2 linked regions of the Macaca mulatta genome follow. The protein of the gene in region 2 interacts with the protein of the main gene of each other region in a biochemical or structural test. Links are inferred from orthologs where the notes say so. Each region holds a gene or a part of one and is shown on either strand. Other genes may lie near its edges. The genes, in order: FBXL3 and CRY2.

The links.
Region 1: the proteins of CRY2 (region 2) and FBXL3 form a complex in vitro, tested with the Homo sapiens proteins (2 studies listed by BioGRID, with this or other methods). The link is inferred for Macaca mulatta from reciprocal best matches to the Homo sapiens genes CRY2 and FBXL3.

The regions. Positions count from the first base shown.
Region 1 is NC_133422.1:71,808,184-71,811,997, forward strand, and holds part of FBXL3 (F-box/LRR-repeat protein 3), read right to left. Parts: intron 1,698-3,814; coding exon 1,526-1,697; intron 1-1,525. UniProt on the Homo sapiens protein: Substrate-recognition component of the SCF(FBXL3) E3 ubiquitin ligase complex involved in circadian rhythm function. Plays a key role in the maintenance of both the speed and the robustness of the circadian clock oscillation.
Region 2 is NC_133419.1:19,770,263-19,774,859, forward strand, and holds the start of CRY2 (cryptochrome-2), read right to left. Parts: upstream 3,115-4,597; 5' UTR 3,102-3,114; coding exon 2,887-3,101; intron 1-2,886. UniProt on the Homo sapiens protein: Transcriptional repressor which forms a core component of the circadian clock.

The sequences.
Region 1 (3,814 bases), on a different chromosome or scaffold from region 2:
CTATCAGAACTGTTGTGTATATTTAATAAAAATGAATGAACACAGGATATACCAGAATAAAGAGAACTATGAACTCTCAGTTTTATAGAGAAATCAGAGACATAAAGACTCATACAATGTGGTAAATGTTAGCAAAAACGTTCAGAGTGTTCTGGAAATACACAGGTGGGAAATCTCAACCAGAAAGGAGAAGTTCCCTTCTTCTCCTATGTTGACAGGCGGGTCAACACAGATCACATCTAAGCTGAACTCTGAAGCCTGGGCTGGCTGCAGTTAGCAAGGTGAAGTTAAAACATTTGAGCAAGTATTCCACAGGGTAAAGTGTACTGAGCAACCACAAACAAAGGTACAAACAAAAATCTGTAGTTCCACAGGACCCAAGTAAAAGCTCCACGTGAGTGACCAGCAAGAGACAGATGGAGATCAAGATACAAAGGACCTTGTACACTATGAAGCCAGGAAGCACAGACTTTATTCTGAGAGCAGAGCTATACAGTAAATAAAAAAAATGTAATACAAGTCATATAAGAACTGCCAAAGCCTATTCCTAACTTCTGGTTTATAATAGCTTCAGTGGTAATCTGTAAGTGGCAGAGACAGCTAAGAAAATACAACCACAGACCTAGCCATTCTCATCACCAGGAGCCTCCTGTGGGAGAAAAGAGAATGAGCAAGGAGACTTGGGAGAATGAGCAAGCAATCTCCATCTAAAATGGAATCATTTCTTGGGAGAAGGCTGACCTTTACCGATGGCAAGAAGGTTGGAAGTGTTTTGTAAAGATCAAAGATTTGACACTATCCCTTAAAGAACAGGTTTCCGAAATAACACAGCTAAAGGATCAGCAAACATGTCAATAGTGGGAGGAGTCAGGAATGAAGCAGCAGATAGCAGTATATATAATATAGTAGTAGGATTTACACTCTCTTTTCAATACAAACCACCTGGAATTTAAATAATCTCAAACTGAATAATTCAGTAATGCTCAGAAAATCCTATATAAGAGAAACTGGAAAGAGCTTTTATAATGCTCTTCTCCCATTTGATGGGTTCTTGGCTCCAAAATTCAACTTAGAGAAAAACACCATCTTGCAAAATGTAAGGCCACCACTTAGTACAACTCTTCTCCCTCTACATAGTGAGAAGAAAAGCAATTATGTGACTGCTCTGACTCAAAACTTACCCTATTAGCTCAACTACAATGAGAAAAAATTCTACTGTACTTAATGGGACACCTCAGGCTGACCTCATACTGTCCTTTCCTCTTTTTCTCCTGTCCATTTTCTAGCATGTGCTATTCATAAATTTACCAAATAAGATTGGAAAATAAGCTGAAAGCCAGTGTCTAGGCTAGTAACTTATGCTATTCTATTACTTATGCTATTCTATTACTATATTAAAAATATTTTAAAGAGATGAAGCAGTCGTATCAATCCACCTTTAAGGTTAATGATCATAGTTTTTTCTAATTTGATGAACATACCAATGCATTTTACGAAAATGTGTCTAGCAAAAAACACAACATACCTGCTGGAGAGACATGAGGACAGCTGCTCATTTTCAACAGCTTGAGTGTATCACTGTTGTTGGCCACTAGTACTTTGAGAGATGGATCATCTACTGGAGTATCATCTATCTTAAGCGAAGACAGGGATTTGGAGTTTACAAACACAACTGTCAGTGCAGAGATAAAGTGAGACTGAAAAGCAAAAAAAAAAAAAATTATTTCAATTTTTAGGAATGAGAATTGAGGGGTTTCCTAGTACTACAGTTTATCTGAGTCACAATGACATTAATATTTTGTAAATGTTTTAGGGGTGGCACCCCTTCACTCTGTTATTGGGAGTATGGCAAAAGAGGTGACTATCTGTTATCTTTGAGAAGAGCCTATTTATGTGTAGGGGAAAAAAACATTTCAAGCCTCAGAATAAGTGTCTCTAAATTGGAGAAACCACTGGTAAGTAAAAAGAGGAATTCTGGAACCAGGGATGAGAATCTCTCAGATACTTCACTTTGCCGTATCTGGAAACCCTAGTGTTTTATAACACTAAACTGCATTTCTTTTCTGTTTGATAGGTATGCCCACTAAACAGTAACTATTAACACCATCATTAAAAATTAATAATCTATTTAAAATCTGAGACTCATTTGAGATATGAAAACTCATAGAAATTTTGATTCTAAAACAATCAAAATCATACTTAAAATTCCAAGTTTAAAATTCCTTCAAAATGTTATCTACAATATTTTCAAGTCTTCTATTTTAATGTATTTTGATCCACAAAAGCACCAATGAAATCATTCATCATGTATCATATATATGTATATATGTACGTACATATGTGTGTATAAACACATACACACGTATGTATCTGTTGGACAGAATATGACCTAAAGGAATCAATGTAGGCAAACAGGAATTAAAGCATTCTCAAAGTATGCAGCTCTCAGTCGGAGCTAAGATATGAGTTGAAACCATTAGGCAAAGAATCTAGGAGAGTAAAGGCAGGCTAATACATGGTCCAACATATTCCTCTCTATAAAACCAACTTCATGCTCCAGTTAGCTTTACAAATTCTCTACAGGAGTGAAAAAGGATGAGGGCAGGCTAAGAGCCAAGAAAGTATAATGAAACATTACTTTTTTTTTTTTTTTTTTTTGAGACAGAGTATTGTTCTTGTCACGCAGGCTGGAATGCAGTGGCACCTCCTTAGCTCATTACAACCTTGAAATCCTGAACTTAAGCAATCCTGTTTCATCCTCCCTGGTAGCTAGGACTACAGGTGTGAGCCACCACGCACAGCTAACTTTTTTTTTTGGTAGAGACGGGTCTTGCTATGCTGCCCAGGCTGATCTCAAACTCTTGGCCACAACGGAACCTCCTGCCTCGGCTTCCCAAAGTGCTCAGATTATAGCTGTGAGCCACCACACCCAACCAAAACACTGTCTTCTTGGTCATAATTCCCTAATTTACTTTTTCCCTACTGTGATTAAACAACTGGTTAACTACTTAGATTTTGATTAAGTAACTATTTACTTAAATGTTAACATCTTTCTCCTAATATTTTCATATCAAACTCAATTATATCTTGTACAAACATATTTCATTTGCAGTCTAATGACTGCATCACTGACGTCTTTTTCCATTTCCCCAATTTAGCTCTAGTCAAAAACATTTCTTCTATGTTGTCTTCAGTTCTCTCAAGATTTCCAAAATATTGCAATGCCCTATTTCAATCTTCTACCAAAGCCATAAACGGAAAAAAAAAAAAAAAGAAAAAGAAAAACAGTATTAAGTATCCTAGACTCACTTAATAAGAAGCATTCTTTCCATTAGCTCCATTCATGGTTCCCAAATTAGTACTAGATATAAGCATAATGGTAAGAAAAAAAAAAGAAAGCTTATGTTCAACATATCTTTTAATATGGTATTTTTAAATATACCATATGAGTCAGTAGGTACATTTGTATTTTAGCTATGGTAGGTACACTAAAAATCAATTCAGATTGTTTCATTTCCCATTTGAAGCTTGAAGGTGGCGCTATACCATGTAACCCGTATTTCTTAGAGTGAGTTTCCTTAACCATCTTAATCAGAATCACCTGGACTGCTCACAGGAAGAGGAGACTTAGAATCACCCCGAATTTGAAAAAGGGATACAAATCCAAAATTTAGGAGGCTATTCAGAAGATTTTTACACATTAAGTCGGAGTACCATGCTGATCTAACTTCTGTACTTAGGATCTTAAAATATTAAGATAATTAGGGCCAGGCGCGGTGGCTCAAGCCTGTAATCCCAGCACTTTGGGAGGCCA
Region 2 (4,597 bases):
AGCAAGCAGAATGGTGGAGGTGGTAGGAGTGTGTCTGTTACCAGGCCCAGGAGCAGTTATTATATTCAATCTGTTTGTGTTACTTCACCTCTTTCTTCTGAACGCCAAGACTAATTAGACTTCCTGTCAATGCACTGCAACACACTTCCTAGGTTGCCCAGCTCAGGACTGAGGTTCTCTAGTCCAGTGCTTCTCAAGCTTTGCTGCAATAAGAGTTTTAAAAACCTTAATGCCCAAGGCCGGGCACAGTGGCTCACGCTTGCAATCACAGCACTTTGGGAGGTTCAGGCAGGCGATTGCTTAGGACCAGGAATTCAAGACCAGCCTGGAGAACATGGTGAAACCTCATTTCTACAAAAAATACAAAAATTAGCCAGGCATGGTGGTGCAAGCCTGCAGTCCCAGCTACTTGGGAGGCAGAGGCAGGAGGATCGCTGGAGCCCAGGAGGTCAAGGTTGCAGTGAGCTATGATCATGCCACTGCATTTCAGCTTGGGTTGTCACCTGAGCAGGACCCTGTCTCAAAAAACCCCACAAAAAACCAAAAACCAAAAACCAAAAACCAAAACCAAAACCAAACAAAAAACCCCAAAACCTTAATGCCCAGGCCATAACCAAGAACAATTCTAACAGAACTGGGGGAAAGGGGTTGGGCACAGTGGTTCATGCCCTGTAATCCCAGCAGCTTGGGAGACCAAGGTGGGTAGATCACCTGAGGTCAGGAGTTTGAGACTAGCCTAGCCAACATGGTGAAACCCTGTCTCTACTAAAAATACAAAAAAATTAGCCAGGTGTGGCAGTGGCCACCTGTAATCCTGGCTACTTGGGAGGCTAAGGCAAGAGAATTGCTTGAACCTGGGAGGCGGAGGTTGCAGTGAGCCCAGACTGTGCCATTGTACTCTATCCTGGGCAACAAGAACAAAACTCCATCTCAAAAAAAAAAAAAAAAAGAATTGGGGGAAAGGGGCCCAGGCATCTTTTAAAGATCCTTATGGGATTCCAATACATAGCAGCCAAGATTGAGAACCACTGCTCTAGTCTGTCCCCTTATCTTATGTTTCTCATGGCACTTCGTTTCACTAAATTATGGTTGTTTGCTGGTCTTCTTTCAATAAAATGTAGGCTCCAGGAGTTCTGGAGCACAGACACATCTGTTTATTCACTGCTGTATCCCTAGCAACATCTAGAGCACTACCTGGCAGATATTAGGCATTCATTAAGTAATCAATTAATATCTGCATTCCTACACAGCCTCTGACTTCAGGATTTGACTCAGGCATCTAAGCCACATTCCTTTTCTCCTTCACTAGATTGACAGCACAATCACAAAACGATAACCCACAAAAATCCATAAACACCTGGTTCCTAGCAAACTGGAGTTTAATCAACGGGAATTTTATTGTTGATTTTTAATCTCCCCTATCAAAAAAGAGTAGGTAGTACTAGGCAGTGTCCCCCAAAACCCAATAAAAGAAGAAACTCTGTGACAATGTAACAAGAAGGTAGTCGGATTCCATTTGGCTGGCTCTGACTGGTGCAGGGCAGTCTGAGGCTTGGCTTAATGTCCACACTAGGGATGGTCATTTGATGATGCTTGTCAAACACAACCTCCTATCTGTAGAAAACTGGAGCAGAGACAGAGCAATAAGGCAGCCTGAAAACTGTGGGCAGGCTCTCCACAGGACTCTTTAATTGTTCCTTCTATATAAACTGGGCAAGAGGGGACACTGAACAGACCTACTGCTAGGAGCACTCACTCTCTTAGCAGGGTACACACCTTGGAGAGAAAAGAATGGTGTGCCGAGAGCCACGGTATCCTGGAAATAACCCTGTCCATCAGTGCAACAAGGCCACAAGCAAACATTCCCCAGAACAATGTAAACAAACCCAGCGACTGCCACTAGGTGTTCTGAAGAGCGATGGGTACATGATGTCTCAAAACTCTTTAATTTGAATACTGCTTACAAAGAAAATACATTAACGACCTGTTCATCTTTTTCCATGATCATGTCGACTCCATCTCCTGGGGGGTCATCAGAGGGGCCCTTGATATCATGGCTTTCCTGCTCCCTAACCTTAGCACAACAGTTCATAGAAGTCTCATCTCTAATGGCTCAACTGTCCTCTAAAATCATGACAAGAGGATGACGGGGTGACACTTTGGATCCTTTTAAATTTTTTTTTATCGAGGTCAAAGCTCCAGAGCAGGGCTTAAACCATTTTGGAGAATCCCCTGGATTCTCTGGAGCTTTGAACACAACGCGATTCCACCTGAAGACACCTTTGGCTTCTTTATTTATAACATAGGGGAGAAGACTTTATTTAATGCTAAGCCAGGGTCACCTGACACCCCTAGAGGCAGGACGGTCTGGGCGCAGGGAAGCCAGGATGGGTGGTAGGGCGGATTCAAACAAGCCAGAGGCTTAGGAATGATCTCCCCGAGCCCAGCAATGGGCTCTTTACTTGAAGAATGCGAGCAAAAACCCGTCCCGCCCTCACACCACAGTATCTCCCTTCTGCCCCTCCCTGAGTAGACCATAAGAGCCCTAGACCAGGAGCCCCTGTTCCGCCACTCACTGGCTGCAAGTCCTTGGACAGGTCGACTTTGGGTCTCCAGGACCCAAGGGTCTCATCTGTACAACGGGGATCATGATCTCCGTTCCACAGGCAGTTGTGAGGCTCAGAGGGGTAACAGTGCGAACGCGCTTTGTCAGAGGCTGAGCCCTGGCCCACCGGCGCGTTAGGACCATGACGAATTACTTCCCCGGTCTCGGCTTCTCCACGGCCTCCCAGCCGTGGAGAGGTTGAGAGAATCGTGCTGTTCGCCGGTCACCCCAGGGTCAGGGTCCTGGCTGCGTCCCCGCCACCCCGCCCCGGGTCCCCTCACCTCCATCGGTTGATCCCGACTGAGGAGGAGGCCGCGAACCACGGGTCGAGAATGTAAACGCAGCGCACGCAGCGCGCCCCGCGCACGGCCGCCAGCAGCGCCGGGTTGTCGTGGAGCCGCAGCCCTTTGCGGAACCAGTGCACTGAAGAGGCGCCGTCCGTGCCGGGCGCTGGCGCCGGGGCCACAGCTGCCGCCGTCGCCACAGTCGCCGCCATGACTGTCCAGACTGCTCCGGCCACCCCCGCTCCGCCCCGGTAGGCGACGCGGACCCCGCCCACAGACCGCCCAGTGACCTATGACGCCGCAGCTCCTCCCTTCGTCCCCGCCCCCAGGGCCTTAGAGCTCCTGTGCCATTGGCTGAGTGCCTCCCGCCCGGCGATTGGCCCAGAGACGCCAGAACAGGCCCCGCCCCCTCACGTTCCTACCATGTGTGGGTCCGCCTGGGTGGAGCTGGCAGGCGGACAAGTGACGCAGGCTGGCACAGTCCGCGGAGGGCCGGGAGTGGGCCGAGTCTCGAGGTACAGCGGATCTCTTACACATGTCCTGTTCAGGGCCTGCTTCTAGAAGAAGCTGCCTGGGCTGGTAGGGGTTGCTGTGACTACAGTCAGAGACTTGCAAAACTGACAACTGACCTTCCTATTATCACCAACATCGTCACCAGCATCATCTACATCATTCTACTACAACTGCCATTTATTAAGTGCACTTTATATGGCAAGAGACATGATCATCTCCTTACATAGTCGGTCTCATTTACTATTCTGAACTCAGCCCAGTTACATTCATTTAACGAACACCAGTGGAAGAGCTGCTGTTATTTTTGTTTTACAGATGAAGAAAATGGAGGGTGCCGCAGGTTGAGCGACTTGCTCAGTATCATAAAGCTACTAAGAGGGATTTCACCCAGATTATTCTGATTTTGAAACTTCTGCTTTTATCCACGAAGCTATACTTCTCTTTGTGCGAAGATCCTTGGTAATTCCAAGTGGCAGAGTCCAAGGATGGAGAAGGAGTGCCCTGATACGCAGCATTAGAGGATTTGGGAGTAGGGACTGGGAATGTGGAGGACTTGAGCTCGTAATTATGCCATCAGATGAATTTATTTTCTTTTAGTCTGTTTAGTAGATCCAGTGGTACTATTGTGTGCAAAGCACTGTACTGGATTCCGGGTGGGGTTCAGAGATGTGGGGGACACTGTCCCCATTCTTCTGGGACGCCAGGTGGAACCCTCTTATTCCTCTGGCGTCTAGCATAGAGCTTGCTGATTGACTGACTAAATGGCAAGAGAAGCTATAAACACCAGCAACAAGGTGTTGGGGAAGGCTAAGATGGCTTAGTCAAGCTGCAGCTTTGGGGTTATCAGGTGGAGAACAGTCTGTTTCAACTTGGCCCTAGGTTGAGCCCATGCTTGGAACCCTTCCTGGACCTGGGACAGTGTGATGAAAGCATTTAGCAATTTAGTCTGCAATTTAGTGGCATTAATTGGCACCACTCTCTAAACCAGTGTCACTGCAATCCTAGGCATTCTCTGCCATTTCCAGGGCTTTTCACAAGCTGTTCCCGCAGTCTAGATCACACTCCCTCTTCCTTCTTTGTTTCTAACTCCAGTTTGCTCTGTATCATTGTTCAGTGTAGATGTCACCTTCTTGCTGTCTGATCCCAACCTGAATAGTGCCCCGTCTCATTCTGTGCTTCTTTGTGGTCACTTGTC